Linked DNA regions of Oryzias latipes. The protein of the gene in region 2 purifies or fractionates together with the protein of the main gene of each other region. This does not show direct contact. Links are inferred from orthologs where the notes say so. Each region holds a gene or a part of one and is shown on either strand. Other genes may lie near its edges.

What was found.
Region 1: the proteins of wwox (region 2) and dvl2 purify together in Homo sapiens (affinity purification with mass spectrometry; 4 studies listed by BioGRID and IntAct, counting the BioPlex papers as one, with this or other methods). This does not show direct contact. The link is inferred for Oryzias latipes from reciprocal best matches to the Homo sapiens genes WWOX and DVL2.

Annotation. Positions count from the first base shown.
Region 1 is NC_019876.2:14,916,079-14,933,086, forward strand, and holds the start of dvl2 (segment polarity protein dishevelled homolog DVL-2), read left to right. Parts: upstream 1-6,819; 5' UTR 6,820-7,151; coding exon 7,152-7,312; intron 7,313-16,719; coding exon 16,720-16,789; intron 16,790-17,008. Other genes in the region: RING finger protein 223-like, read left to right, coding at 3,513-4,112.
Region 2 is NC_019864.2:20,915,592-20,932,710, reverse strand, and holds the start of wwox (WW domain-containing oxidoreductase), read left to right. Parts: upstream 1-7,302; 5' UTR 7,303-7,400; coding exon 7,401-7,507; intron 7,508-13,815; coding exon 13,816-13,880; intron 13,881-14,111; coding exon 14,112-14,169; intron 14,170-14,277; coding exon 14,278-14,447; intron 14,448-17,119. Other genes in the region: nuclear factor of activated T-cells 5, read right to left, coding at 5,802-5,874. UniProt on the Homo sapiens protein: Putative oxidoreductase. Acts as a tumor suppressor and plays a role in apoptosis. Required for normal bone development. May function synergistically with p53/TP53 to control genotoxic stress-induced cell death.

The DNA.
Region 1 (17,008 bases), on a different chromosome or scaffold from region 2:
GCAGGTGTTTTCTGTTGTATTTAAGATGTTATTTCTTTAAATACACTGAAGGTCATTTTATCTTCTGGTTCTATCAATGCTTGGCATCCCAGCTTGGAATATTCTGGTGTGGATGTTGTTCACTAACTACAATATCCAAGCTTAAGCAATCAGCCTTCTGTTATTGTCCTCCGCTGTTGAGTTGGGGAGATCCCAGTGATGCTTTTCTGCTTTGGGTTGGCAGTTTCATGTGACTTTGTGGGAAGAATATTGTTTTCTGGGCACAGCTTTCCATGTGTAACTTGTGTTTTTTTTTTTCTACAGACGAAACTGCCTTCTGGCAATAAAATTCAACAAGTTAAACATGTTTGAACCAGTTCCAATTATAAGGATGTGAAGTTGCACTTTTGAAGCCTGAAATATGACTTTTCGAATTTGATTTAATTACCCTTTATTAAAAAAAAAGCTGTAAAAACTTCAAAGACATTGAAATGTTCTCATATTAATGTCTTTACATCTCTTTGAACCAAGAACCTGAGGAAGTCTGTAAACTTGATTCACATTGGCTGTTGTAAACCACCATAATGACACGATACACCAGCAGATGGAGGTGAGTCACCAACAAGAGGGTGGCTGTCATTTTTCTGCCCTCTGTGTCTTGGTTACCTTTACCCTTTCCGGGGGTATAATTACACCTGAGACGATTCATAGGGGGATTCAAGAGGGTGAAGAGGAGAATCAGGTGTGGCGGCAGCGAAGCAGACACTTCAGCAGCAGCCGGAGGACACACCCAATGCCAGATCTGCAGCAACATGAGAAGATAAGTGGGTGAGGGGAGCCACCACGGCTGAACCAGAGTGGGCCCTGATCCAACAGGTGTGCAGAAGGTAAAAAGTACTCCTTATCTGTCTTAACCTGTCAGGTCGGAGCCTCGCCCGCTTGTCAGCATTTACAGTGAACTCGGCTACGGCTCCTCATCCGGGCAGGTTTTTTGCACATCTGTGTGAGGCCTGACTCTGTAAAGAATGGGTTCATTGTAGTTAATCGATGTCTCATACAAAATCTCATTGTAATCTGATTTAAAGTGTAAAATACTGTTGGGCTGTGTGTTTGTATGGACCAATACTTGAGAGACATTGGCTGCTTAGCAACAGTACCCCCATGTGTGTAGTTTGTTTTGTTAGTGTCTCATGTGAAAAAAGGGGGAGAGACACAACAAAAAAAGTCAGTTATTGTTGGTTTGATGCTTTTAATTCACTGCTAAGACGTGCCATTGACTTTTCAAATCTTCTTTAATCTGTGATAAGGAGCCACAAGTTGGTTAATTTTAAATTAATCTATTTTAATTGATTATTACAACCACTGGTAGATAGATGGGTTTGCAGTGGGCCCATGTGAAGCCAGCCTTTCAGATCAGCAAATGGAACTCCATACATCCATTTTCCACTGAATCCCCTTCAAGGTCATAGGGTTGCTGGAGCCTATCCTAACCACTGTTGGGTGGAGGCAAGTGCACCCTGGACAGGTGCATAACCACACACACATTTACACCTAGGGATAACTTAGATACACCAGATAACCTATGAAGCACATAGAAAGGACCAAGTCAGGATTTGAACCTGGGCCTTCTTGCTGTGAGTGCTTACCACTCTTCCACCACCTTCCGCCCAACCCATTTTGTGTAGACAGAAATTGGACAGGACAAAGTAAACATTAAAACTCTGCTGGCACCATCTTTTTACTGCCAAAGCAACAAATGAAGGTGAAGGAAAACCTCACCTCTAAATGTGCGCATTTCAAAATCAAATCAAGAAAAAAACACAAACCTTCAGAGTTCCCATGAAACCAAAGCAATAAACCTTCAAAACTTTCTTGCCACCAAGTATATTGTTTTAGGGGAAATCAATTGGAAATGGTTCCCTTTTGAAGCCAGCCTTCAGTGGTCTTTAGAGAAAGTGCAACAATTGATCCTTCCTGTCCTGCATCAAATGAAAGTATGCAAGGATTGGTCATCAATGATCCCCAGACTTTCTACAAATTGACTGATGGTGAAGAGCAAACACGACTGAAAACTGGATAAAAAACAATGAAGCAGTTCTAAAAGTTAGGATGGAGCTTGTCAATCGAAAGACCCCACCCCATTCTTTTATTACAATGTCAAATGTAAAATACAAAACTTTGGTTTGTCAACGTTCACTCCTTGCATCATGAATGCTAAATCTATGCAAAAAGATGGCAAAACGTTTCAGAACCAAACCTAAAATCTGCTTATTTCTGATTTGGTCTTTTTTACGTTAATTGGAGTGAATATATATGGATCTGAAATGTCTTTAGTAAATGAGCTTCAAACAGGAAGTTACAGACTGTCCATTCATTACAACTAATGAGCTTAAGTACAATAACAGCCTATTGTGTTTTTTTAGAAATATTTAAGAAAGGCTTTCTTAAAGATTAATTTAATTAAACAAGAACTAGCTAAAAACCAAGCTAACATTGAGCAGCAACTGAAAAATATGTAAAATGCAAAAAGTGAAGAAAAAAAAACTACAATAGAACCAATAACAGACAATCTAGGATATAAATAGAAAAAAACAGAAGAATATACTTTATTATTATTCAGGGTGGCTGGATGGCTCAGTTGGTGACGCACATGTACACGGGAAGTCAGGGTTTGATTCCCAGGGATGCAATGAGCTTCATCTAGTGTGGGACATTGGGCAAGACCCTTCACCCTACTGGCTGACTATGTAGCCACAAGGGGCCCCCAGTCTGGGTCCCCCTGTACCGGTCCTCATATAATGGGTGGTGTCAGGAAGGGCATCCAATGTCAAAATCTCTGCCCTACTAAATGTGCAAATCAGTGAAAGCCAATTCTCTTTGGCGACCCCTGAAGGGATGTACCAAAAGGTGAGCAACATATTTTATTATTATTGAACCAATTGATAATACGAAGCCCAGACACACACAAAAAAACACAAACGTCAAAAAACCATCAGTTCTTGGACGTTGTGTCTGTAAGGTGTGTAGTGTCCCAAAACACAAATTCGTAGTATAACCTTTCAAACTCTGAGCCATCCATTTGGTAAAACAAACATTTTCTTACAAGCAAAGCCTGTTGACTCTCTGACGTAATCATTTTTTGCAAACTCAATGAGTCACTGAACGTGCTCTTGCACGCACACGCGTGTAAATGGAGAGGAGCTCCAGTGACTTATGACTTCCTTTGTATGGCTCTTCTGTTTTTTTTTTGGTTTTTTTGTTTCCTGTCCGTCTCCTTTGTTTTGCCTTTCCTCACGTTTTGCATGCAATCCGGCACACTGCATGGTCCTGTGATGATGAGGCAATGGCTGGATAATTTCAAAGATGAAGAATGTTACGAAACATTTTTAGAGGAAATCTGATAGGGTTAGACCTCTGTAATCCCTAATTCCAGTCTTGAGCTTATCTTCAATCTTCTGTCTCTTTCCAAGTCTTCCAGGTTCTGCTTAAGACTTGCCTACATAGGTGCAGTTGAGCCCCAGGGCCCTTACATCATGACGGGGGAGGCTGTCCCAGCACCCCAGCAGGGGAACTTGGAGGAACCTGTGGATGTGGAATGCCCCATCTGCTACCAGGAATACAACCAATACAACAAATGTCCTCAGATGCTGGAGTGCCTCCATGTTTTTTGTGCAGAGTGCCTCCAACTGATCCAAATCAGACCGAGCAATCCCTCCGACGCCAACAGCCCGAAATCGATTGCCTGCCCCCTGTGTCGTCATTTGACCTTGCTGGACACTGGAGGCGCCCTCTCTTTGCCCTGCAACTCTCGCATCCTCTCCCGGCTGCCCCCAGCTGCCCCTCACATGTCTGAAAGAAAGACCAACCGTCTGTCCAGTGTCCCCCAGGGAGTGGTGTTCTCCCTGGAGGGCGACAGCAGGGACCCTGGTTTTATCATAGTACCCACCGTCAGCCTGCGAGTGCAGCAGATGCATCCGGAAAGGCCCTGCGGGGCAGCGCCGGGTCTGGTGGGTGAGGAAGGGGTCATCCAGCAGAGCAAGAGAACGCTGGGTTGTGTGCAGGTCCTGGCGGTCGTCTTCTGGGTGCTGTTTGTGATCACCTGCGTGTTTGGCGTCGTGCAGAGGAGATTTTAAAAGAAAAAAGGAATCGTTATCTCTTTATTTTGTCTCACTTCATGAATGTTTCTTTTCATCAATTGCAGATCATGAGCTCCCTCTAGTGGCCAATGAAGAAATGCACAAATGCCACACACTCAATTGACACAAACACATTCAACACCTATTTGCCCCAGTCTCAACAACATGGGCTGTTAATACACAAAACCCTTGTAACTAGAGAGATTTACCAGCAAATCACACCCACATGTTCTGGTCTTGTCCAGCTCTACACTCTTTCTGGAAGGACATTTTTAGATTATTATCCCAGATCATGAATTATAAAAATTATAGAACCCAGTCCTTTGACAGTTATCTTTGGTGCACCTCCGCCATCTGTACCGTCTTCCTCCTCAAGGTCCTCTCCTATTTCTTTTGCCTAATTTTGCTTAGATGGGAGTTTTCAAGTCCTCCATACTTACACTAAAAGATTCACTTGAAGAATTCCACAAAGCCTGTCACAGAGTAATTTATCTGTGTGAAGGGGAGGAGGGCGGGGCGGTCAGTCATGGTCTCCGTTTTTGCAAAAAATATCTATTTTTATTCTATTAATTGGTTGTTTTGTTTTGTTGGTTCATGTTGTATTGTGCATTTTTATATAGACTTGTGCTGTTTTTGTTGTAGCCTTTAATCTTTTTGTCTAAGATTTGTCTCATATAGTGGTTTATTGTCACCATAAAAACTGTTTTTTTCTTCCAGATTTTGTACCTGTTTGCAAATACAAAAAACAAATTGCAAAAAAAGCAACATATCTATATGATATATGTATTATATATATTTTAAAATCTTGGTGTTTTTTTGTGGCAACGACATTTATCCTGAAGTAATTATGCTGTATTTGGTGCTTGTGCCACAATATGCACCATTTTTTTTAAAGTCCAGTTCCACATGATCAATTACAGCCAAAATAACAAATTCTTTTACTGTTTTCAGACTGAATTTTCATGCATCACTACTATTTCTGTGCGTGTTTAGAAATTTCACAACCCAATCTTAAAGTCTTTCAGTTTCTGCCCAAAGGTCTCACTTAAAACCATAACATTGGCACAGATATCAGCATATTATGATTTTATGACCATTTTAATCCCCCCCACCCCCCGTACAATGAGGTTTGAGTATTTTGAGTTTATTATTGTTTGCACTGATGTAATGATGTTTGTTGTGTGTTTAGTTCTTTTTTTTGTGTTGATCTAATCTGTTCTTGACTCCTTTACAAAAAACTTTGTGATCTTTTTTGAGAAATATGTTATAACAGGAGAACCCAAATAAATGCCATTTAAAAAATGAATAATGGAACATGACAAAACACTGTTTGTGTAAGTTCACTGTATATTTGTGATATCAATGTTTATTTCAGTAAATTTCTCAATTATAGTGTATTTTTAGGACTCTTTTTTTATGAAACCTTCTTTAAATCACATTGTGTGTGAATGGATTTGCCTTTTTGCTTTTTATGCTGTTTATCTGCTTCATTTAGCATTCTCACTTCCTAATCCCATCAGTCCCAAAACATCTCAGCAAAACAACTCATCAGTAGAAACCTTTTATCACAACTCAGATGACCACAATGTTTATTTTGATATTTTTAGTACATTTTATGATGGACTCGAAGTCCAAATGTCAGCACTGAAAAATAGAGGAAAAAATACGGTTGGACTGTGATGTAGTGGGTAGCACTCATGCCTTGCAGTGAAAAGGTCTTGGTTCAAATCTCAGCTGGGACTTTTCTGTTTACATGTTCTCCCCAGTTCATAAACATGCTTCATAGGATAATTGGAGTCTCTAAATTGTCTCTTGGTACAGTCCTGCCGTCTTATCACTCAATGCAAAAACATACTAGAGATCACAACGTTAATTAAAAAGCAAAATACGGATATATAAAAATCGATATTACATTTTTGGAAAACAAAATGGAATGTTAAAAAACGAAACACGATGAGAAATTGAAAAAGGTGACTGGATGATAATATCCAGTATCGCTTCATGTCAAATAACTTTCAGCTGAAATGATGGACAAACGTCATCGTCCATCAGCGATGTCCCAAAACCTTTTCCAGTGTCTCATCATCGTTTCTTTTTACTAACATTTCATTTTGATTTCTGGAAATTACTTTTGCATTCAAAAATGTGTTTTTCTTTTTTGTTTTTCATGGAAACCCCCAACCTATGGTGCTCGGCATTTTTGTTACACGGTAATGTTAGGTTGAGGGTGTGAGGGGCTGGAAGCTAGTGGGTTTTCAGATTTTGTGTGAAAACTGCCTCAATTAAAAGACACTCGGAACGCTTTAAGATAGATACAAACTTTAATTTAGTATTGGAAAGTTAATCAAATCAATTTTAAAAAATTCAACAAAAATTGGGGACATCTTTGGATTTGTGTATATAAAATTTAGTAGAAAAAAATAATAATTTAACAATATTTTCCTTTTTTTACCATCAAAACTAAAACAGATAATTACATGTGTGTAAGGTTTATGACGCTATTAATTTTTAATATAATTTTTAATCAATGTTCGGTTTTAGTTGCAATGGGTTTATGATTTTTTTTTATTTAAATGTCTTTAATTAAAGTAATGGGCAATGGACTTAGTAGAGGGGCCTCCCGTACGTAAAGCAGAAAGGGGGGTGCGTCCTTACGTCACACGCAACAAGTGGTAAAAAGTTGTTGGACCCCCCGCCCCCTCCCACCCCTCCTCCTCCCCTGTATGTTTTTGTTGAGGGAAAAGTTGTTGGGAGTTTTGCTCGTGTGAATGCAGCGCCTCCGCCGCTTTTCGGCCCTCGGTACTAGCAGAGGGGAATGCCCGCCGTTTCGTTCCTTCAAGTCGGAGAAAGAGCCGAGGAGCAGAACCTTCCAGATCTTTATGTGAAAACGTAACCTTTTCGGGCTCCAACGTCTCGTTAGCTTCCTTGCTAGCTCCCAAAGTTGACGCTACCTCGCCTCACACTCACCGCTGTGTGTCCCGTCGGAAGTTAGCGGGTTTGTGGGGAAGGAAAAAAAATTAACAAAAACCCGCAGAGATGGCGGAAACCAAGATAATTTATCACATCGACGAGGAGGAGACGCCGTACTTGGTGAAGATACCGATAGCTGCCGAAAACATCACTTTGTTGGATTTTAAACAAGTGTTGAACAAGCCAAACTACAAGTTCTTCTTCAAGTCTATGGACCAAGACTTTGGGTGAGCTGCTGAGATTTCTTCTTCCTGCGCTGAACATGAAAGGATTGATTACGCTAAAAGTAAAGGAACTAAAATTTAAGCGACCAAACGTTCATTCAGAGGCTCATATAATTCAAATTGTGTGGCAAAAATAATATACACATTTATTTTTTCCTACTAGTTTTCAGTGCGTCAGTAGCTGAAAAAAACGCTCCAAAATAGCAGGAAAAACCGTTTTAAATGACATTAAATGTGTATTTTTTTGTCTATTTAGTTTGTTCCTTACAAAACTGTTGGAATAAACGACTCACTGAGTTGTTTTTTCTCCTCTAACGAGAAACCACGCAGTGATGAAGATCATAGCGGTTCTTTAAATACTTTGGATTCTGTGGAATATTTTCAGAATAAAAGACTCCCATTACAATGAGAGGCATTCCTCGGCCCTGCAGCTTTTCTTAGCCCTAATAATCCTCCTCCTCTTCCTCTCCCCCCTCTCCTTCAAGTGAACTCCTCTTTTCTTTCTTGCGGGACTGCAGCCAGAGTTTTGTCCTTTCTCCTTCACACTTCAGCCCGCTTTCCATCCTTTCAATCCCCAACTCCTATTCTATGTAGCTTCTCCTTCAGGTAGAAGACAGGAAAACTGTCTTTCCTCTTCCATGTCATGGTCTGTAGTAGAGGAATGGACGATGGTTAGTTTAAGTCGGTTTCTATTATTATTATGTGTGTACTTGTCTTTTGGTTGGACCATCAGGATATTTATTCTCTCAACCAGAACCTTGATTTAAAAAAATATATAATTTGTTTTATATTGTATTGTGCCTTATAAACTCTAATTAAGATATTTTGAATTGAAATCAACATGGATTTATCACAGGTTAGGCAGTTCTTATTAAAGATGTTTCTGTAGTAGAGAAGTATGCATTCCTCTATAGCTTCTAGTAGCCAATTTCACTCCTGGGTTTTAGTCACAAGGACCTTTTGTTTTTTTTGGGACCATAAGACGCTCCTAAAATCAACAGTGCATTGTATGTATGAATTCTGGTTGTGTTAATTGATGTGGAACCGATTTTCTTTGGTAAATGGCGCTCAAAAATCTGTCCAAATACTTCAGAGAGACTTTGGTAAACTACAAAGCTGCACCTGGAGCATTAAAGCCTTGTTTCCACTCAGCGATCCGGTCCGGTTTAGAAAGCGATTCAGGTGAGCGTTTCCACTCAAAGTTGGACCGGCGCATGTGGGACGTTTGAGAGAAGATTGTGGTCGGCAGAGCAGAACACAGCCGCTTTCTTTTGTTGTAACGACCTTTAGCCAATCGACAGGTTTCAACAGTAGCTCCGCCCAAACCGATCTGTTCCATTTTTCTATGGACCTACAACCAACAGGGGCCCAAAAATGGTACGGTTAATGGGTCCATTTTACCTAGTGAAGTGATACGTATTGTGTTTCAACATAATGGATTGAAAAAGTGTTCTGTATTTTGTGTTACAACTGAACAACGTTGAGAGTTACTGTCAATAAAGTTTGACTTATCTGCAGAGTCTGATTATTGCAGGTAGGAGAGAAGAACTCAGTTCACTAGAAAAAGGTTCCATCAACCCCCTCTTGACCAATTCTATGCATTAGGCCAACTTTGTGCATTCTGGCTATTGTAGTTATATCACATGAAATGACTGTTGTATTGCTCAATCTGCCTTATGGTCCAACAAATCTTTTTGGTTTTAGACCCTCCAGAAAATAACCCATCATGGAGAGGGGCTCTTGATTCCACCTTCTAAAATCAGACAAACATATTGAATATCCTTTTTGGTTTAACACGTTATTTTTGATCCAAGTGGCTCGTTTATATATGCTCACTTTTCAGTAGAATTATTGTTTCCAAATTCTCATAAATGATGCTGCACTTGTTGTAGCTCTCATTTTTTATTGGCTCAGAATTGGGGCTGAACGATATGAAGAAAACTTGCGATATGCGATATGAGTGATCAATATTGCGATAACGATATCATTTGCGGTAAATAAACAAATAGCAAAACAACCAAAAGCATCATTCCCATTTCACTGCAACAGTTTAAAATGTATAGTCCAAATGAACCTCGGCGAGGTAGGATGCAAACATCTAACATAAAAGGGTCCATCCGATTGGTCAAATGCATAAAGGGATTTATTTGATTCATTAAATGCTTCAAGCTGCCATAAGATTGTTTTAGCATATTTAAGGTAACCATTTATTGCGATTTGTGATGACTTTTGCGATATGCATATTGCACAGCTTGATATCGCGATAACGATAAATTTGCGGTATATTGTGTGCAGGCCTACTCAGAATGCAGTGTGACGTTGTTCAAATTAAACCTTTATTAAACCAGAATGGTCAAGTATTGACAAACGTAGGTTAAAGAATAAAGAATCAATCAAACCCAGAGCTAAAGTTTTTTTAACCCTTTTATCTTGGATGTTGGCAATGACACGTTTGTGCAAACACTCTTTACACTGAAAAATGTCAACGCTTTCTAAAAGATGAGACGCTACAGACAATACAATGTTGTAATGGGCAAAAAACTCAGAAGTTCACAAATAGCCCCTATGTTTCCAAGGAAGACAGTTATTCCTGGTTAATTTTATTCTTTTTCTGACCAAAACTGTTACAGTCAATGTTACAATAAACAAACTGAGGCTGTCTACATGCCTGCAAATGCAGAATAACTGAATTAGCAGATATATACAAATTAATCCATGGAAATATGGTCATTTGTAGATCCTCATCTACATGGTTATCTTGGAAGAAGCTTTCAAAGTTTCGGTGACTCAAGGCCCATTATTGACCCTTGTGCTACCCTAGGCACTTTAACATTGGGAGTTGGGTCATCTAGACCCACTAGACAGTGCCCTGAACCTTTTTTCTTCAATGATTTGTGATCTTCACTGGTGTCCATGGATTACATGAAATCTTTCCACCTGTATCCACCTTTGTCATGGCAGGGAGAACACGTCAATGTAAGGTGGGGTCATCTAAGATAGATCAAGAGTTACGCAGAAACCCAACTTCAGCTTCATCCCATGCAACTAACCTGACATATGACGCAGGTGTAGGATTTTCCTTAAAAAACAGGTTCCTTGAGAGTTTTTGGCACTAATCCAACAAGCTGGAGTTACAACGCTGACTTGTTTTGTGGATAAACAATGCAAGAACGGCAGATTTTATTGATCATTTTGGCCCAACAAGACCATGAACCGTTTTTTCTACCATGATTTGTGATCTTCACTGGTGTCCATGGATTACATGAAATCCTCTCCACCTTTATCCACCTTTGTCATGGTAGGGAGAACACGTCAATGTAAGGGTGGGGTCATTTTGACCCCAGAAGATAGCACAAGGGATAAATAAACAAAACAATGTCCATCTGTTCTCGTAAACGTTGGGAGCTAATTGAACAAAAATAAAATTTAGATATAAATTGCATTTTTGTTTGTTCTATGCAACTGTCTTTTTTTTAAACAACATTGTTATATTGGATGCCTTAGTTTAGCGCACTAAAAAAAACTGCATCTGAATATTTTCACTATAGACTAATACATTTTAATTTCAATCTTGTTGTTTGTGGTGGGTTCTGCAGAACCGTGTTCTCCTGCTTAAGGCATGCAAACCTTTGCAGGCATGCAGAACACAGGCATAAAAACACCTCACTGGGTTCTAGATGACTTCTGCTAGATTACCCGATGTGCTGCATTGGTAGAATAAACAAAATTTTTTTAAATTCTTTTTTTTTAGTATATGTGGTCCTGATCCCTTAGAAGCTGCTTCTGGGTCACGTTTGATCTGTAGGCCACTATTTATAAAGCCCTGCTTTAAGTACAGCTGATAAATGAGTGTGCTAAAGAGAAGTAAATTAGAAAGCAAGCATGCAAATTACCGTATGTTTATTATCACTAGAGTGAAAGTGATAAGTATTTATCTTAATTAGAAATCATTTTGACTCAATTTGTGATTATCTAAATGTATACAGTCAATAATGATTTGAATTAAAATGAGAGATTTTGATTTGCGTTCATCTTAAGCGCGAAGATCTTTAATTTTTTTATTACATTAGCTGTGATGCTGTCTTAACAAACAGGAAAACACGAAGATCAGACTTCTTAAAACGACCAAATTCTTTCCAAACCAACAGAGTTTAATGAAGAGAGTGATTATTAATGAATTTAGAACAATTGACAATAAAAAGGGGTTTATCTAACGGTTTAGGTTTTTTTTTTGTGGATTGACTTTATAAACATAAAAGTTTATTAAAATTTCCACAGGTATTATTAATATTAATGAACCACAAAAAGTCAGATATCTTCTCCCAGACCAAACCGGTCGGTTTACTAGGATTAGCATCAGATGCTAATGGAGAGTTTAGCTAAACCTGCTCAACAGGCTTCAGTGTCACAACAAACACAAAAGGCTTTAATGCGAGAAGCTTGGGAGTTTTACCATAACAAAAGAATAACTATTTATTGTTTATTGTAAATAGGCAACAACTCCACAAACATCTGTGTTTTCAGATGTCAAAGTCCCACTCCAATCATCATCATTTTGATGGACTTTTAATTATGATGATACTGTTTTTAGCCAAAATAAAAAAAATCTTGTGGTGTGTTCTAGGACATAGTTTGTCTTCAGAGCGGGGAGCTCATGACCCGCCCAGCTTATTTTTTACAGAACTGCATTTTTGTCATCTGCTCTTGATGCACAACGATTTGAATAAAGAAATACTCAGAAATGCCACAAGAACGCATTAAAAACACCAAAAATCCATCAGAGTGGGTCATCAATTGATGTCTACTCTTATTTCTAGGACTGTGAATGCCCAAGATAAACAAAAACAGCAACATTTTCTTAGAATATGTGGTAGCATCCCCCTCTTTGAATGTCTAAATCATTTCACCAAATTTCAAAGGGTCAGCTGTCCAGTCATAGCCGGTACCCCCCCCCCCCCCCCCACTCCAGCCCTAAAAAGGGAGTCCTCTAACGTTGTGTGTTTTCCTTTGCCATGGTCGAGGCCAGCTGTTGACTGACGCTGCATGTGTGGCGGAGCCGGGGTTTGTGTGGGGAACCTGGGGCTGGACGGAGGCCATTTGGTGGGGGTCTCGTTGTGTCCGCAGAGAGCAGAAAGACGGGGACCGAACAGGGCGGTGTTGGGTTGGAGCTACTGGATATTCCTCTATGTGAATGTGCTTTCAGAGGCTTGGGGCCTGTTTCAGCGAGATTAATTATTGGGAAGCTAATGCCGTGTTGAATGCTGGGCATTTAGTGGTAACAGGGGAATAGAAGAATGGAGGAGGGTTGGGAGGAGCTTAAGGTTTTACTGACTGCAAACTGGGCTCAGCATATTTTCAGGCTTGTTTGTGCATTTTTGCTGGCATTTTGGAGCGTGTGTGAGCTGACTGCCCCGGAGTTTGTTTAGAGCAGTGCTTCTCAATTATTTTTTGCCAGGCCCCCCCTAGGAAAAGAAAATGTTTCGCGCCCCCCCTGACCCCCCCCCCCCCATAACCCCCCCCCCCCCACACACACACACACACAGACACACTCGCGCGGTGACAATACATCAGGTCAGTATCTATAAAATTTGTATACCTAAAATTGTATCTTTTAACACTAACAAAAGAAAAAAGCAAAATAAATCCACTTTCAACAAATATTAACTTTATTTAGCCACAGAAACCCTGTTCTAGTCTAAAACAGAAAAGAAGCTGAAAGTACCTGAAATAAAAAAAAATCTGTCATTCCTTATTTAAACTAGAAACATTTTGACCAACTGAACCATTTGATGCTGAAAAAAATAATTCAATCAATAAATAATATTAAATCTAAATTGATCTGAAACATTAACACAGCAGCACCAATATATTTAACGTTTTTAGTCTGAAGAAATAGGTAAAAACGTGCTGATTTTTTTTTTTCTAAATGACGGATTGTTTATTTCTGATCTCATAAAAGTGCAGCTGTTTTCCTGCATTACCTGCTGTCTTTCTGTCTGTCTGAAACCAACTAAACCACAGGCAGACAAAGAAAACATGGATGGAAAATAAAGACACGTCATCAAAATGTCTACAATAGTTCATAAAGAATGACATTGTTAGCATGAGCTTAGGAATCTAAGGGCAGCGGTGATCTTGGGCAACAGGCAGCGGTAGCAGTGGTCCGCGTGCCCCGATTCCCCTGGCAGACAGGGCCCACACCACCCCTCCCCTTTCGTTCTCACTCGCGCAGCCGCGGACAGACAGAACAGACAATAGGAACCGAATAGTGGACCAGATTATTTTCCAAGCACTGAGCCGCTGTCACCGCTGCCCCCACGTTAAATTTGCGCACCGGACAAACCTGTGCCTAAAACCGCCACCACCGCGCGCCCCCCCTGGCATCGCTTCGTGCCCCCCCCTGGGGGCGCGCCCCACTATTTGAGAAGCACTGGTTTAGAGGGCTGTGGAATGAAGACAACTCTGGTGGTTGTTGATGCATCTGCTCCTCATGCTGTCTAGACGTCGTTTATGCGAGGAGGGAAAACGCTGAATAAATGAAGCGCAACTAGATTATTTGTTTGTTCACCAACAGTCGGCGACCACACAGACGAAAACTCCCAGAAAGCTCAGACATCCTGCTTCAGATCCCCACGAGTGCGCTAAACGATCTGCATGCTAACACTCGCCCACAAACCCAGCGCTCAACAGCTGCTCACAGAAGCCCAGTGGAGCCGGGCCTAATCTCTCACACAAGAAGGACCCAGACAAGCTGACAGGGCTGGAAAACTAACCAGCGTTTGAAAGAAAATCTGTTAACATTCACGTGACGCACCGTCCATAAATGCAACGCAAAGCTGAGGAAAAGCAGGGAACACAAGTTAAGAGGAGAGAAGTAAAAGATTCTGACATTAACTTCCTTTGATTCATATTTTTTTTCTACAAGCAAATGAAATTATAAAACGTCTTGATGAATAACCAGGAACAAAAGCAGTTTATTACATTATGCTGTAAATGATAGTCTCCAATCTTTTTCAGGCTACAGACCGGTTTAATATCAGAGAATATTTTCACAGACCGGCCTGAACAAAGCTAACGGTGGCAACAGTTTTAGAATAAAATTATAATTGTACTTCTTTATTCATTTTTTGCTCATGGTTTCTCTTTAAAGTTAAGGTGCAGCGGATAAACAGCAATGATCTGGGTGAATGCTGAATTCCAATTGGCTGCAGGGTGGTGTCCTTTAAAATGCAAGTAGTTGACACCTAAAAATGAAGCTTCTGTCACATAGCTTGAATGTCCTATATTATTGAGCTGGCCTAAACACCAGTTGGTAACCGGGACAACAGAAACAAAGGTCTCTGTCGCTTAAATGGCTCTATGATGGACATGCTGGTAAATCTATCAAAGGTTATTATCAATGGCAACATTGCAATAAATTTTAAAGAGTGTTTTGTCTGTCTTGCTGCATGATACAGAGTGATGATGTGTTTATAAATAATTTTATTATAAAATGATGAAAGACATTGATTTTTAGTTGATACATATTTCATGATCAGAGTTAGTACTAAATATTTCTTACAATAAAAGCAATTTAGGAAACTGCCTGTGGACTTTGTTGCTTTGAAACAAATGTTTGCTTCATCATCTGAAAAAAAACAAGCGTTAAGAGGACCGCTGTCCCTCTGAAATGCTGCTTTGTATCACTCAATGTGACGTTTAGCCTCCGCTGTGGCAGAGATGGATCGCTACAAGCGCAGTAGCTGTTACCATGGCATCACGCCACACCGCGTATCAAATGACCTGCTTCTTGTGGAAAAACAACTCAGACGTAAAAATAACAGCATTACTAATATTTGATTTAATATTTCTTTCTTTCGTAAGTGACCTTGGTATGAGCGGAATAATGCCCTTTGATGTGTACATTATCAGAAAACGATAGACTTTGTAGAAGTTACCGTCCTCCACTTAGCATTGGATGGTTAACTCTTCCACGTCATCCATACATTGCTGATAATGGACACCTCGTTGGGCAATATTGCTTACGTAACTATACAAAATCTGGTATTTTCTTAAAGTTATAACGAACATGAATCCACCATGCTTGAAACTTTTTAAGCAGCGTCCTTATCACATTAAAGAGTTGGTCGCTGCATATGATGCAGAGTGGGCTTGGTGTCATTGTGATAAATCAGTACTTTGAGTAAAGAGGGTTTTTGCCTTTTTATTGCAGATTTACCTTTTTTATCCATTGCAGGCTATTCTGTTTCTTCTCGACTCTTTTCTGTGCAAATAAACTTTCTAAAGACATTTTGTGTTTTCAGAACCTCACTAGTTTGGAGTTTCAATTTACCGTACTGGCTTTAACAGCCGCTTTAAAAAGGTAGCAAATGTTTTTATGACACGTGACGGAGAAGAACAACTCGCCATGCGTCAAGTGAGTCATAGATGCATGTAGAGGACAAGCCGGTAGTTTTTTAAAATAAAGCTTTCTCTAAAATTAAATAAGTAAACGGCAATAATTTTAGTTTTGTACGATTTTCTCTGTGTCCTGGTTTCAAAAGACTATCAAACTATCAAACGACTGTCAAAAACAAAGCTACCAAAAGGCAAATGCTTTATTTAAGACTGTATATTTTATGTTTATGAAGTGAGTGTAAATGAGAAATGTGTGTTATTGTTGTACTGCTGCCTCTTGGCCAGGACGCTATTGCAAAAGAGATTTTAAATCTCAATGAGTTTTTATCCTGGTTAAATAAAGGTAAAGTAAGAAACAAAAGACTCACAGGCTGGAACTGGTCTGTGGCCCAGGGGTCCTGAGGCGACTGTAACTTCACTGCTCAAAAGAATGGGTTTTTAGCTGCCTGCTGATACACTTGATGGGACGCTCTGAGGCTGCTGCTGCAGAGCTGTAATTACATACTTTGTTTGGAGTGGCACCATCATGTCAGAACACTGTCAGAGGTAAAGAAAGCTGCCCCCCCCCCTTCTCCACCGGTATCCTAGAGCTTCAACGGAAACCACAACAAAGCATTTTCAGATCTGAAATGCAGACGAACGAACCCTTAAAGCTCTGTGCTCAAGGATTGGCGGTGTTGGAGTTCCTCAAGAGGCATCACTTACTTTGTTTGCAAAGTCATTCCAATGTAGGAAACTAAAAAGGAATTCACTTTATCTGTGTCACATCAGCTTTGGAAACATGACTAATGCTGACTTTTATTGTGAGTTCAGAGAAAAAGGTTGAAGCTGCATTGTGTTTTAAATTCCATTTGCGTTTTAAAAACAGTTTAAGTATCTACATCTGTGTCTTGTTCTGTTTTTGTTTTAGTAATAAAGCTTAAACAATTCAACAATACCGTACCAAATACAATAATACAATATTTTTGTTAAGACTGAACGTCTCATGAGAACTTTTTCTTTCTTTTTCCCAGAGTGGTGAAGGAGGAGATATCGGACGATAGCGCCAAATTGCCTTGTTTTAACGGCAGAGTGGTGTCGTGGGTAAGTAAGAATAAAACGAGTCATTTTTAAAATTGGAAATCAGTGCTAGAATCTGCGTTAATTTCTCTTGTATCTTTTAGTTGTTAATAATAATAATAATAATAATAATGGATTGGATTTATCTGCGCTTTTCAAGTCACTCAAAGCTTTTACAATGTGTCCATTATTCATTCACTCTTCATTCATACTTGGTGATGGTAACTACTGATGTAGCTGCCC
Region 2 (17,119 bases):
TGCTCACAGGGCCGAGAAGACTTTCCAGTCTGACTTTAACCTGCGCTGAGAACAATTATATTACATCATTTGATAGTTATGCACCACTCACATTACACATGCCTTAGAGGATCTGCAATGGCAAGGGCATCTATCCATTTCTATTCTTTGCAGCTGGCTTGTCGCTCAGATGAGGAATTGTAAATGAAAAGACAATTCATAAGGGGCTTCATTTTAGTTGCAAATAAAAAAGAAGAAATGTGGTCCAAGATTGTATCATTGTGTCAAACAAAAGCCGCTTTAATAACATTTCTGAACCTACAATAATACGCTCAGACCAGAGCCCAAACAAAAGGGCTATTCAGTGCAGTCAAACCACAGTGTTGTGTAGCCTCTTTGAATCAAACGCCATCTGAGAGCTGAAAATTCTGCATTTCTTTTTTTACTTCACTTTTCTACATATGCAAAATAGTGCAAAAATTAACATTTTAAGTGCTATCCTAGAAAACCCCCAACTTCCATAAACAAATTGGAACCAAATCGGATCGTACGAATTGTTGCAGTTCCACAAAAGACAACTGTGGGCAGATTACAGAAAGAAGCCATTTCTTATCGACTCAATGTAAAACCTCAAATTTCACATCCAAAGTAAATATATTTTACAATCTGTTTTCCCCCCATGTTTATTGGTTTATTTATTACTCATGGCAAATTATAGGGGGGGTAATATACATTTTTAATTGGTCATTTTGATTTGATTAGTGTTTAAATTTACACTTGGGGGCATTTCTTTTTTATTGATTGGTCGGTGAATGGACTCAACAGAACCCTTCATTTACTTTGTTGCGGTCTATCCGCCATTTTTAACACATTGTAGAGGTAGGGCAATTGACTTGAGAGATTACCTGTTCCGTTTATAAAGATATCTATACTAACATGTATATGTTTCACAGAGCTTCCTCAAAAGGTATGTTGAGGCACCCGTCAAAGAAGGCTATTTGGAGTCTCCAAATGGCCCCTCGTGATCTCTGGCAGATTTCTTGGAATGAGACACCCAGCCTCCCTAAACATTATAGCCAACACAAATTTGGATTCTAATGAATAGTGATACTGAAATCAATCCAACTCCACATTTAGATTCACTATTAAAGTCTCTAGTAACAAGTAGTTAAAAATAAAAATATTTTGTAAACATGCATGGATATTTGGCCTACATTAAAATAAACCTTTAATCATTGGATTTTTAGAACTTCCTTCCTGCTGTTTTCTATATTTATCTCACTTTTTCATATGTGTTCATTCACACACCCCACCTCCCATCCAGATCATGTGGCAAATATTATAAAAAACATGAAAGAAAAAAGAAAGTACACATTTGCTGTGCTAGTTTTGTTGACTTTGTGCAGTCCAAGTTAAAGAATTACAAAAAAAGAAAAACGAAGAACTAAAACCACAAAATTCACAAAAATAAAATCCTCCATAAAGCACAAAAGCATCGCATTATACTGATATAACTCCAGCAAGTCTGCCCTATTGAAGCAAGAAGTACACATGATATAGTGAGCACTTAACTTATACAAGTCCTAGAAAGGTACTTTGTAGTTTTTCATTAACAAAACATTTTATTTATAATTTAACTGCCCATTTATATGAGTCACTTTTATAATTTATATGCAGTTGGGACAAAGAGAACATGTTTATTGACTATTGTCACGGCACTACCCATTTTATTGTCATGTTTTAACAAAAAGCAGAACAGCCCAAAGCAAAAGGCCAAGTATCTTATTCCATCTGCAGCTTACATCGCTGTTAAGTTGTGGCCGAGCACTTAAAGCAGCTTGTGTTTGTAAAGCGTATGTGTTGCAGTTACTTGATGGTAAAAATGAGTAATACGAGTACCACTTCTCACTCTGTGGCAGTGTTAATGCATACAGTGCCAAACAGATATTTTTCTTGCACCAATGTGTCTTTGATTTGTCAACACCAAAGAATGAGTGGGGTCTTCACCTGTGCTTTTACAAGTTGGAGGCATCAACAAGTGGTGGGAACCACAGGGAATTTCACATCACACAGTCCAGACTAAGGGTGGGAGGCGTAATAAAGAGAGCATTGACATCAGGGCTGTTAGGTCTGGAACAGAGCCTTTTTTTATAGTCACAGTTTTGGCAGGTTGGAAAGCTCATGAGAACTCTGGTATGGACCAGAAAAAGGTACCATCAACCCAATCTGCCTAAAAGCTATTAATTGTCTTCCTTTCCATTAGCTGAGCTATAATAAAGGTAGGAAGAAAATGTAAAATTGGACTCAAGTAAAAACAACATTATTCCAAAACGTTAAAGTCAAAAGAAGTCATTCAAATAATTTCCAAGATCAGCCTTAAAAAAACAAACAAAAAAATCACTATTATTTTAAACTTGAACTTGTTAAAAAAAAAATCACTTACAGCCCTGCTTACAGAGAATTTAAAATGTTTTGTCAGTTCAGCTTCCATGAGGTCACAGCTCAGGTCTTGTCTGTGAAAACGCAGAATAAATGTTCTGATGAGGACATGGGACGGAGAGCTAAATAAGAACAAACACCTTTTTTTCTAAATCAAACCCTTTTGAGATCAGCGTAATGTCATAAAATGCACAAGTCTAAAAATGTTTGCACAAAGTGTTTTTGTATTCAAGCTGAACTATCTACTAACTGAACTGTAACTGGCCTGTCAGAAGAGCCACAATCGACAGTTGTTGCCACTCAGTTCTCAGAGGAACAGAGTTTGACTGTCCCGCACTCTTTTCTTTTTTAAAGAGGATTCATACATGATCAAGAAGCAGGGTTTAAGGGCAGGGATGTCCAGATCCCTGCCACTTGCGGGCAAAGGCAGGGGACATCCTGGACAGGTCGCCAGTCTGTTGCAGTATAGATATTAGCTACCGGTTATCATATTTGATTACTGATTCTATGCTTTTATACAATTATTGTTGTGAAGCCTGATGAGACAACCGCGTTGTGATATTGGGCTATATAAATAAAATTACACTGAATGTGTAAATTGAACATTTACACAAAAATCTGAACTTTCAGCCAAAACATCTCTCTAGACCTGTGGTCTAACTGATGTGAATTTGTTGACTTTTCTTTTCCAGCTATTCTGCTGTAGACTTGTTTGTGTGCATTGGCTCATCATTTACATACACAACAAGCATTTGGTCATCAACTGATTTCTCAAGTCATCAGATTTTTAAGATAGATGTAGAAAGGATGTTCTGCAGTTATCTGATATCGGACTATTACATTTTCGACTTCTCTCCGAAAAGCTGACTCTTCCTGTCCACTTTTATCTGTGCATGTGTGAACTAAAAGCACAGATGGAAGCAACATGTAACCACAGAGTAGTCTTGCATGACCAAGCCAACCGCTGTTACTTCCGCACAAAGTACAAATAGAGAATAGAAGCTAGATATTGTCTCTTTATTTTGCAACTATTTTAGATCCCACATTAGCAAAGCTAGCACTATGTCTATCGGTGCTGCTACATTTATAAAAGACAGACTGGTGGAGTTTTAGAAAGAAAAGTTCAAAAGTTATGTCATTGTGTACGTAAAACAAAGCAGATAATTGACTCCCACGTAGTCTAGGGTTTTATGATGATCATATTTCCATAGTCAATTTGTAAATACAGTGGAGCAAATAGTCTGCAATTCTGCTAGTTGTTCCACTTCAACTGTGAGAAAACAAATGTAAACATTTTTGCTTTTACAAATATTCTGTCCCTTACAGACCTGTCACCTCTTCTTTAAGAAGCTTTTCCATCCTCTGCTTGCTACTTGTATCAATGATACCTGTTTGAACTGGTTATCTGCATAAAAGACATGTCCATACCCTTAAACAGTCAGACTGCAACCTGTGCCCCATGATCCAATCCAAAAAGCTGAACACAGGGAGAAGATTGTACACCTGAACAAGACTTGGATGAACTAATCTACAACAAGCAAGCAGCTTGTTGAGAAGAGATCAACTGTTGGAGCAATTATTAGAAAATGGAAGAAAAACAAGACAATTTCCCTCCACTTGGAGCTCCATGGAAGATTTTATCCGGAGGGATAAAAATGATCTTCAGAACAGTGAGGAAACAATCCAGAACTACACGGGGAAACTGGTCAATGACCTGGAGAGAGCTGGGACCACAGTAACAAAGGTTATCATTAGTAACACACTATGTAATCATGGATTAAAACCCTGCAGAGCTCCAAAGTCCCCCCTGTTTAAGCCAACACATATCCAGGACCATCTAAAGTTCCCAGAATCTGTCCGAATGACCCAGAGGAGAAGTGGGGAAAAGGTCATGTGGTCAGATGCGACCAAAATTGAGCTCTTATTGATGCAAGGTATTGATGCCACTAGGCGTGTTTGGAGGGGGAAAAATGTTGAGTTGCGTCCGAAGAACACCGTTCCCACTGTGAAGCATGGGGGTGGAAACATCATGCTTAGGAGCTGTTTTTCTTCAAAGGGAACAGGACGACTGATTCGAATTAAGGAAAATATGAATGGGACCTTGTATGGTGAAATTTTGACCAAAAATCTCATTCCATTATTGAGAATAAAACATGGCTTCTTCCAGCATGACAATGATCCCAAAAAGTCTGCTCTGGCAACAAATGAGTGGCTACGGTACGTAAAAGCATCTAAAGGTTCTGGCGTGGCCTAGCTAGTCTCCAGAGTTCAATCCAAAAGAGAATATATGGAGGGGAATTGAAGGAGTGTTTTTATTCATTCTGTCTCTCACAGTTGAAGTGCATCTATGATGAACATTACAGATCTCTCATCTTTGTAGGACAACTTTCAGAACATTTTGCCTCACTAGATCTGATAAACTCGTTCATTGTTCAACTGCATGACCAAATCTGAGACAGGCTTTAGTGACCAATCAGCTGGTCCAATATTTTATCCTAAATGAAATGCTTTACATGGGATTCCTATAGGAATAAATGAGAAACCTGATCCAGTAAGGGTACAATAAGCCAAAACTGAAGATGGTTGATAAGTTAATTAGAAAATCATTCAATGCAGAAAGTTGCGGTTAATGCATTGCTTACACACGTGAATTGACTCTAGCAACACATAATGAACTCCTATTCTTGCAGCAACGCCCCCTTTATAGCATCAGTTTTAGCCGATTGTGTGCTACAGAGATGCACCGGATTCCTGCACCACATTTTTATTTCTGGATTTAGCCCCACGCCTTAGGTAAACCCTAAAAAGTTGAGCAAATAAAGCAACAAAGCAAGATAGTTGCTATAAAAAAAACTGAAACAAGCACAATGTGCACAACTCTATCTATGCTCTACTTTCGGTCTGAATGGCAGTCCCTGGCGCACGCCTACACACGCGCACGCGCGGCAACACACTCGCACACAGCAGATCCTCTTCAGAAATGAAGCACACTAAACCGCTAAACAATGTGGTGGCTAGTAGGCAACCTGACGTAGCCTTGTTAGCCTGTGTGTGTTTCAGTCAGTTATCTCATTTTGAATTACAAATGAATCATTCACTCATAATATTATTTTAGGTAATATGGACGGTATACACTCTAAGGTATAGATAGTCTTCCAAACATGTGACACGGCACTCTAATCCGCCAAATAGTGTATGCCGCCTGTGCGTAAGCCAAACGGAATCTAACTATCAGAGCTAGTCTTGCTAAGAGCCGAAAGAGGCTAACTGGCTAGCTTAGCTAGCACCTTAACATTGGCTTCAAAGGCATAGAGATTTATACAAAACAAACGACAGCTACGCCGATTTGGCGCTACAGTAACATTTATGAAGTAAAAACTTACCTTTAGAGTATAGCGATTTGGGGGAATTGAGGTCGATATCCGTGCTAAGGATGGATGTAAAATCAGAGGGCATCGCAGATCTTCATCGAGGGGAGGAGGAGCGGACACTCCACCAGAAACGAAGTCGGCTGTTCTTAGCCAATGAATACTGCGTTTTACAAGAAAAATGCTTTAATATGCATAGTATAACATGAAAATAACCTCCCTGCAACAAAAAGAAACCTATAATTATCAGAAACATAAACCGTTATCTAGCACGTCAACGGGTTGTGTCTTGACTGAGCAGACACGTTCAATGCTGCGATTAGACACACACACATACATACAAACAGACGCGCGAACACACACACACACACACACACACACACACACACACACACACACAGTTTACTGCCGTTCTTCATCTCCGTTTGATTGGTTGAAAGGTGTCTACCGTAAGAATTATTACTGCCATCTGGCGTTTAAACCTGCAAATAACACATCGATAGATGTGAGATCTATCGCAGTAATTTAATCCTAAAGTCAAATCGCGATTCTTTTATTTAGAATTAACACTTCAGTTGGAATCTCATGGAAGCGTATCGCATTAAAGTGATTAATAAACCAATGCACTTTGACTGCCATTGTGGTGTTGTGTGAGTCTTTCACCCACAATTCAAAGTACAATTAAATTCGTAATTTCAATTACATAAACGAGCTGTGTACCATTGTTGAGGTAAACAGAAAACAACAAATTATTATATATTTTCTGTTCAGAATCAGAATCTTTTATTGTCATTATGCAGTGCACACTGAGAATTTTTCCAGCAGCTGTTTTCCAACAATATGGAAAATACTATATGAAAAACAATAATACATAAGACTGTACAGACTGTTCATTAATGCTAATGTGTCAATGTTTAGAGTTTTGAATCAATGGTTCTTAGTTAGTATTCTCTATTTGCAATTTCTAGTGTTTGGAGACAACTTTCAAAATAGTCCAAGCTGGCTGTTGTATAAATATGCACTAAACTACTACTACTACTACTACTACTACTACTACTACTACTACTACTACTACCACCACTACTACTACTACTACTACTATTACTACTACTACTACTACTACTACTACTACTACTACTACTACTACTAATAACTAATAAAATCCTTAATTCACTATTTTTAAATATTTATGTACACTGATAGCCACAAGTATTCACGTATTTAGATTTTTTACATGGATTTTGATTAGACATTCATAATGTGATTTTGATCTCAGTTAAACTTAGACTACATCTTTTTATTTTATTTTATTATCATGATTATTATTATGATTATTATTATTGTGATTATTATTCACCAATTAGGTGAATCAAGTTTTTAAAATGAAGTCAGGAAAATCCGCTTCTATTCCAACTTCTAATCGCTGCCTAATATGATTTCATTAAAAAAAAAACAATTGCTCCAACAGCGTCAGTTTTGTACTCAGTTTCCCATGTGGCAGTTCGGCAGCCGTCACAGTATTGTTGCGGAAGTATCGCGAAACGCTGTTGGGGTCTGCATTCATTTCTGCAACTATTTCTCATCGGTTTATCGTTTTGGTGAAGACCCAGAGTCATGGCTGCTCTAAAGTACGCTGGTATGGACGATACAGACAGCGACGACGAGCTGCCTCCCGGATGGGAAGAGAGATCTACGAAAGACGGATGGGTTTACTATGCAAAGTAAGTCAGACAGACAGCTCAGCTGCGACCAGCGCTTCTCCGCACTAGTCCTCAGTTTTCAATTAAGGAAAAAAGCGCCTCCTTGATGTTGATATTGTTTCGTAAACGCATCCAGCTTCACAGATTAAAAAAAATGTTGATAAAATTTCTTGTCTATTACATTTAGAACTCCTGCTGCTTATTGCTACTACTATGAATGCATTTTAGGACATATCTGTAAATAACAATGTGTTATTTATAGCAGTAACATATAAACGTAATTTCTCTGGACATGTAGACGCTTTAGCCAATATTTTTCTTGTTAAAGTTCAAAAACCTCTGACGACTTCAGATCATGGGCTAGAATGAACTTCACCCCCCTAAACCTTAGTCTGATGATGCGACCCTTTGAAGCAAATCCAGTCCACAAAAGCAAACTGTTTAAATTAAATAACTGTTAGTAATCCGATAATGGTGATGTGATGCATTGATATGCATTTAAAAGATACGATAATTGATAAACCCTGATTTACAGGTTTCGCTTCATTATGGATTTCTTTGAGAGATGTGTGCACATAAAGATTTGGTCAAGTTGAAACAACCATGTCTACAGTGTCAGGGTTGTAGTTCTATGGATCATGCAAAATACAATGCATGTACAGTGGTGGACAAAACTGTTGGTACCCCTCAGTTAAAGAAAGAAAGTCCCCAATGCTCACTGAAATGACTTAAAATGTTAAAAAGTAGCATAAATTAAAATGCATTGAAAATTAAAGAATCATATTCAGCCATTATTTTTGAGTTGTTGATTAACAGAATTATTTCCAAAAACAAACTAATGAAATAGAGCTGGACAAAAATGATGGTACCCATAACTTAATATTTTGTTGCACATCCTTTAGAGGCAATCAGTGCAATTAAACGGTTTCTGTATTTGTCAATGAGCCTTCTGCACCTGTCGACAAGTATTTTGTCCCACTCCTCATGAGCAAACTGCCCCAGTTGTCTCAGGTTTGACGGGTGTCTTCTCCAAATGGATGTTTTAGCTCCTTCCACAGATGTTTAATGGGATTCAGATCTGGGCTCATAGAAGGCCACTTCAGAATAGTCTAATGCTTTTCTCTTAGCCATTCTTGGGTGTTTTTGGCTGTGTGTTTTGGATCGTTGTCCTGTTGGAAGACCCATGACCTGCGACTGAGACCAAGCTTTCTGACACTAGGCAGCACATTTCTACCCAGAATGCCTTGATAATCTTGAGATTTCATTTGACCTTGCACAACTTCAAGACACCCTGTGCCAGATGCAGCAGAGCAGCCCCAAAACAGAACTGATTCTCCTCCATGTTTTACAGCAGGGACAGTGTTCTTTTCATTGTATGCTTCATTTTTGAGTCTACCAACATAGAGCTGATGTGCCTTACCAAAAAGCTCGAGTTTAGTCTCATCTGTCCTAAGGACATTTTCCCAGAAGAAACAACTGTGATGTCAATTAAAGGACATACCTGGGTTCATCATGACCCTCTGGGCAATTAGTTCTCAGCCTTTTATGGAGGTACCATCATTTTTGTCCAGCCCTATTTAATTAATTTGTTTTTTGAAATAATTCTGTTACTCAACAACTCAAAAGTAATGGCTGATTTTGATAATTTAGTTTTCAATTTTTTTAAAAAAATTATTGTTACTTTTGAACGTTTCAAGTCATTTCAGTGTGCATTGTGGACTTTCTTTCTTTAACTGAGGGGTACCAACAATTTTGTCCACCACTGTACATGCATGCAAACAAGCATACAAACACTTTCCATGTGTAAGAGAACAAAATGATTTTTGTTCTTATAAACTGACTCTACAACCCATAGGAGATGATTGAACACATGTGGGTAACAGACACTCCAGAACACCTTTAGTGGTCGTTTGGTTGCATAATACCTGCACAATTTTTCAGGATATATAAGGGCAAACTGCCTAGTTTTATGCAGTTCGTCAACATGTTGTGTTTGAGCAGGTTTTGCGATCACTTTATTGACCTGTAACTCTGTAGGGTTGTTGTAGCTGACTGGAAGTATCCCTGAGGAAGACACCAAGCAGAAGAGAAACCAAGCTCATTAAAAAAACTTTGAATCAAAATTACTGGGTACCTTTTTCCTTTTTATTTAAATCAACAAAAAAATGTTCCCCAAATAAGATCTTACATTTTATGCAGTTTAGGAATGGAGTTGACAAATGCTGCCATCTAATTGGGACGTGATTACAGTTCAAACAGGAAATGTGCTTAATTTGCTGTTTGGAAGAAATTTAACTGAAGACAGATTGTAATTCTGTAGAAAAAGATGACAGCGATTGATTTTAGTTTAGTTTTGTGGTTCAGAACTATAACATATCTCATTCAGAAACTGTTAAAAAAATGCATATCCACTTCATAATAGAGCTTTATTACAATGTATTTGTGCAACAACCCAAAAAATATACTTGTGGGTAGCTCATTTGAAACAGTGAGCAAAGGTGCATTTAGAGAAAATTGAGTACAGAAATTAATGAAAATATTATGATTATCTTTTTTAATTTATAATCCCATTAGGCAACATGGTTATGTCCCTGTTTTCCTTTTACAGTACATGAAGACACTAAGGAGACATTATTTACAGCATAAAGAAAGGATGGATTAATTGACATAAATCACTAAATCTAAAAATAAAAGCTTCATTTTTTTCTGTAAAAATGGCGTAAAGTCCCACTCTGATCATCTTTGATCTATTGAAAAAGCGTTCCCAGTGGTCGTTTTGTTGTGATTATGCAGTTTATAAGCAAAATCAAAATAACCTGTGTTGTTTTCTAGGACATAGTTTCTGCAGAGCGGCAGCAGTTCATTAGGGACTATTGACTCGGAGTAAGCCTTCTCTGACTTAGCTTACAGCCATTTACAACCCCAACATATCATTACCGCTGCAACAAAAACGTTGAGAAATTTTGGAACTATTAAGCCGTACAGTTTTGATCCAGATTCCAGTTCAGACGAGGAAAACAAAGACGTTCATGGATCTATTTCAGGGCTCCAGACTAACTTTTTTCACTAGGAGCACAGTGGCCCCTAACTGAAAATTTTAGGGGCGCAACCAGAAAATTTAGGGGCGCATACCGTAAATCAACATTCTAATCAAATCTACTAATTTCCACTGTATTACTAATAAATACTTTAATAATAGATGCAGAAATTACAATGTGCTGTTTCAAATTCAGTGTCACATTTTATTCTGCACTTTTGAAGATGCAACAAAACAAAACCATCACTGTCATGACAGTACAAATTTGTCTTTGTGACACCAAATAGGTGCAGCCAAGATGCACAATAAGCGTGTTTGAGATCACCCAGGTGAACTCAACGCTGCACAGATCACCTGGTGTGTGACATATATTTTTGTTTTTGCTCCAACATCATGCTGTACACTCTGGCACTGGTACACTAGCCGCAGGTGGGAAGAACGAATCAATAGTTCGCTTGCTCATAGCTCAGACGCACATATCAGGTTTTGATATTTGTCTCAGTTTCCTTCCCACAGATGTTTACGCGCACTCGATTATCTCTAGGCCCCTCCCCCTCCACGCATTTTAGCCACTCACAGTGGCTGTCCCTATTCTTCTCACACGCAGTGGCCGCCTCACAAACAGGCATCACGCGAGAGTGTACGTGCTCGCGTTTCATGAGTATGTGCGCGAGTGTGTGTGTCTGCCTGCGTCCGTGTGCGCTTGCGTCTCATTAATTATTTCATTGATCATTGACGTGCCCCTTCCACGTTTAATGTATAAAAAATACGAAGGGTGGGGGAAGCAAATTTACTGGTCGCGCATGTGCGACTGGATGTAAAATTCAGTCGCACACTCTCAAATTTTGGTCGCAAAATGCGGCCAATTGCTCGCAGTCTGGAGCCCTGTATTTGTCTGCAAGTGGATGCATCAGAATGGAGCAGAGCAGGGAGCTTGCAGCTTACTTTAGTAACTTCTATGTCACACCTACAAGGTTTTTCCTCTTGATTCACAACAATTTGAAAAAAGAAATATTTAGAAGAGCAATCTTAAGGCCTGTACACACCGGGACGAATTTGACACGCGATTTTCGCCGACGTTTAAAGCCTCGTGACTAAACAAAGGGCACCAATGAGAGTGTGCACACCGACGCGAAAAAACGCCACGCGTCAAAGCGTCACTTTTTAAAAAACGCCTCGGGTTGGTTTTTTTGGTTTGACGCGCTGCGTCAAAAACTATACGACCAATGAGAATGGTGCTTTTGCACACGTGTCTGGAGCTTCTCAAGTTACAGTAAAACACAACTTGGGTGCGCTCAAACACAAAACTGTCTTTCTGAGCACTCATACCAGCGAGGAAGATAGACGCCAAGTAGCGTCTACACTGCCGCGAAGAAATAATGACGGACATTCCTAAATATCCCCGAAAACGCTCATGATACATTTTCAGCTCTTGTACCAGTCGATAAAACTCCCCATGTTCTTCTCCTCTCGTAACTATGGGATGTACCCAAAATCTGCGTCTTTTCCGGCGTCTTTCATCATTCAAGAGAACAATAATTTCTTCATCGCTGGAACTGGAGTTGGAGCTACTGTTGCTGGAAATATTCATGTTTTCTTTGTTTGATTCTGACAAGCGCGTAAATACTTGCTCTCTTCTTCTGAGTGAAAAGCGACTTTAAGAAGCGTAAAGTTGCGCAGCGCCACCTTGTGTACAGGGGTATTTCTGATTTACATTAAGCGCCATCTAATGTCAGGGAATGAAATTGCATGTTCACTCGGCTCATCGTCAGCGAAAATTGCCTGGGTGTGAACACAAAAAACGTGTTGAAAGACGCTGGCGAATAACGGTTGGCGAATATTCGTCCCGGTGTGTACGGGCGTTTATGCTTAATTTTCTATATCTAGATCCCCCATCATGAGAAAAATGCCAGAAGAGCATGCTAAAAACAGCAACAATTTTTTTTTATTGGACTGAGTCTTTAAGGAACATTAAATACAGATCTTAAAATATTCCCTTCTCTGCTGCTGTGCTGGTTCCAAGCCCGGTTGGATTGAGAGGGTTGCGTCAGGAAGGTAAAGTTAATGTGTTGTGTTGTGACCCTTCTGGGCCACCGTAGGAAGGGCATCCGGCGTAAAAACATTGCCAAGTTAACCATGCGACTCATCCTCGAGGGAGGGTTGTTGCTGTGGCGACCCCTGATGGGAGAAGCCGTAAGTGAAAGAAGAAATACAGATCTTAAAATAAAAACCACTTTAGTTCAGAAGAAAAAGCAAACTGTAAGTTTTCAGTAAAGATTATTATAAGTACTTGAAATTGGAGACCATGAGTTATAATATAAATTGTTAAATATTAAGGTTGTGTTTAGTTTTATAATAGTAGCAGTAGTAGGTGAGCCTTGATCTCCCCCAAATACAGAAATCAGTTTTGAGCAACAGGGAGGTTAAAATAAGTCATCTTCACATTAACATGAGATGGAATAATTTACATAAATATTCCACAGGAGCAGCACATTACAATACATGGAAAAAGAAACAATGCACATGTTCACATTGTACCACAGAGTAATGAAACAAATGAACAAATTGGTAGACTGTCTATCGTCCTTCATACAAAAAAAAATCCCTAATAAATGGTCTAAAGTGTAGTTTAGAAGTTACACAATAAGTAACAAATGCATCAAAAATGCATTGCTTAGTCTCAAAGACAGAAAAGGTAGTTCAAATTTTCCCCCATCCTTCATATCATTGGCAAGCACAGCCCTGCAATCCACTTGTCTCGGTAATAAAACAGACCTATTATTGAGACTGATAGATATGATAAAACATTTTCAAGTCTCACTCCGATCCGTTTCTACATCCCAAATAAGAGCTTTTCAGATGGCATTTTACGTCTGCCTCTGTTTCTCAAATACCCAGAAATGCAATTTTGAATTCAAGTTTATTTCTTTATGTCCTCCATCATCAGAAAAATGCCAGAAGGACACGTTAGAACACCCAAAACACAATTTTTAACTTTAATAAAGCATTAATTTTAAGATCAGGGAAATAAAGCTTATTCCTGGAAGGTATTTTTTAGGGAATGGATTTGTTAATAGGATATAGGCCTTTTTAAAAATTTATTTTAATTTAGCCACTGTTAAAAATGTTTCTGCAATTTATTTTAATTGTTTTAAGGATTAAGAAACTAACAAAGAAGCTGGCAATGTTATCAACCTTTTCAAAAAAACAAAACATATATTGAATAAATGAATAAAAGGACATGATTGAATTTTTACATTTTGAGTCATCTGTCTCTTTTTTCCCCGTACAGTCACGAGGAGATGAAGACACAGTGGGAACACCCCAAGACGGGAAAGAAAAAGCGCTGTGCTGGAGGTCTGCTTTACAGCAATAGTTGGTCACACTGCAGATGCTTTTATCCAAAGTCTCTTGTCAAGTTCTTCTAAATCAAGTCAGAGATTTATTTTTAGTTTAGGATCTAGAACTTCAGAGATTTCATTTGAATATCAACCTATTTATGTATTTATAACTTTCACTCATTCTAGATGCAAATACGAGGCTTTTATGAATTTCTGCTTTGCAAACACTGAGAGTATTTTTGCACAGATTTACCATACGGGTGGGAACAGGAGACCGATGAAAAGGGACAGACCGTTTACGTTGAGTATGTGGATTCTCTAATGCTTTCTATTTTTTTCCTTCCTAGCATGTAATAACTTAACATATCTGGTGCAATACCAACAGAATTCATGTTTGCTTTTTCTGCTTTTAGTCACATCAACAAAAGGAGGACGTATTTTGACCCGCGCCAGGCCTTCACAGTGGAGGATGTAGTTGTGAAGCCAAAGCGTTATGATGGAAACACTGCGGCTTTAGAGATCCTGCAGGGTCGTGACCTGTCCGACAAGGTTGTTGTGATCACTGGAGGAAACTCCGGAATCGGTGAGTTCACTGTGATCAACGTGTGCTTTTGTAAGGAAGCCACTAGGTGGTGATGTTGCTCCTCGGTGGAGAAGTATCTCACACGTGTATCATTCCCATCATTCCTCCCTCTCCGTTCACTACCAAGCATTCATCAACATTAGCCTCTAAAATGATACACTTAGACTCAACAAATCACTCCTTAATACCCAACATGACTGTATTGAAGTTCATTAGCAGGGCTGAATTGGATGTCATTGTTAACTGTAATGAATGACGACCATTTGTGGCCGGCAAATGCATGGCTCCCCATATAATGGTTCGGAAACAAATGCATTTCCAGTTTAGCTTTAGTTTAATTTAGCAGCGGCGGCGGCCATTTATTAACAGTTGCTGCTTTGTTGGAGATAGATAATGACAGTGTGTGCAAAATCAAATAAACATAAAATCGTTAATTGTTTTTATATTCAAATTCTTTGTCCCGAGGAAAATCACAACAGTGTAAATACTGCGTGTAAAAAGCGACGCTGCACGGCAGAATGAGGATGCAGGGATTTACAGGAGCCTGGGGATTTTTTTCTTTTCATTTTTTCAAACAAAGGTGGTTGCAAACGGCAGAACCAGAGCCACAGATTTGCACCTGTCTTTATCTTTGAATACACCTGGAACATTACTACAATAAAAACATTATTAAAATGTTTTAGTTTTAGATTGAACATGTGAAATTTAGTGTGTTGTTGGGAACAGACTTTTGTCTCATAAAGCACAGCATTCTGGGTAATTTCAGCTACAATCTGATGCTCAGGCGGACTCTGAAGGAAGGAAAAATACCCCATAACATAATTATGTTAGTATGAAGCATGATGTTCACCCAATAGTTTTTTCTTAGTTTCCAGCTTCTCACTGAAAGCACTGAATATGCAGTTCAGGGGAGTTTTGATTGAAGTTCAGGAGCTAAAAGAGAAAAAAAATGAATTTATGTTACATTTTTCTGAATTTAAAGTTCTTGTTTCACATGTGAAAACTTCTGTAATTGTGGTCAAAGTTTAAAGAAAGATTTGTTTGGAAATGTATCCATAGCAGCAGATGTTCAGTTATCCATATGTCTCTGAGTCTCACTGAATGAACTATTTTAAACCAACATACCATGTTAGGACTGACATTCTTTAACAGTCAGACTGAAGTGGATCTTCCATTCTTCTCAGTTGGTAGTTTATGCCGACCAATTATAATTTTTATTCATAATCGGCCTTAGTGAGCTAATTATAGGAAGGGTCAAACAGTTTGTTGAGTCCTTTGTCATGAAAGGAGATTTTGAAGGTTCTAAAAGGCGGGTAGCAAAGACCGGATGAAGAAAAATGTAACTTGTTAATGAAAAAAAGTGTGACGTAAAATGACAAGACAGCTCAGAAAGTTGAAGACACAAAGTAACTAAAGAGCAGCGGTGATGGTGACAAACTAAAAGAAGACGCGCTCATCCTTGTAAAGAAACGGAACAATTTTATTTAATAGAATCTAACCAACTAATCTTAGCAAAAAAAAAAAAGTGAGCAATTTTAAAGGCACAGTTCAAGATCAGGTGCCTCCAAGGTCAGGTGACAGAAATAAATGATAATGATAAAATAATCATTTTTAGTGAAGAATATATAAAATGATTTTCAAAAGGGACTTTTTCATTTTTTCAAAAACATTCGAGTATAAATAACTGGAAAAATTGTAATGTAATCTTATAAATCCAAGTACATTCCTCCAATAATGACAGAAAAAAATGAAGGAGTAGAGCTGCATGAGGCTCTACTTTTAATAAGTATATTTTCTGTAATTGTTTCTAAACTTTCTAAAGAAATGTTAGACCAGATGCTGTCAGAATAACTCAGTGTCACCATGAAGAGGTGATCCATAAGATAAAGACAAACCTTCGTTTCTTCATCACTGGGGACATTTGCAGACGGAATTTGCAGGAATATGAACAAATCCAAAATGAAAATGTAATCAAAGGGAGACTGAAGGGAAAAACAGACATATATAAACATGGGTTTTTAGACATGTAATGTTCAGCTAAAACAGTGATGCTTTTCAAATTAGATGGTCAGGAAACTGACTTGATTTGGCTTTTTTATGGGGTTTTTTCTAAATAGATTTGTTTTGCTCACAAGGTTTTTTTTTAATAACTTCTTTGCGTAAAACTTCTAATTTTGTATTCTTATTTATGTGCAGCTTAAACTTAAAAGAAATTAACTGTCTGACCAAAGAGTTTGCTGATAGAGTAATAGCTTTGCCTTCTGCAAGGACATTTACGAGCTTAGGAAGTGCAATCTATGTTAAAATTACCAACTTTAGAAAAGAAATTTTGTTTCGCAAGAAGATTTTGTCAACGGTTTTAAAAGCGGAAAAACAATTTAATTAAAGGTAAATCATAAATCGTATTAATTTGATTTAATTTTGTGTTTTTGTCCTGATAAAATGTAAATTTTCTCCACAAGAGGGCGCAGTACGTCCATAATTTCTCCTATTCAGATTCTGCTACACACATCTTAACATTCTAAATTTTGCTTTGACTTTGAAGTATAACTAAAAGAAACAAGTTACCTATTTATTGATTTAGTTAGGATATTGACATGTGTTCATCTGAAAAAAATAAACAAAAATAACAAAACTTCCTCAGACAGCTCTAACAGACTTTTTTTTTTTTC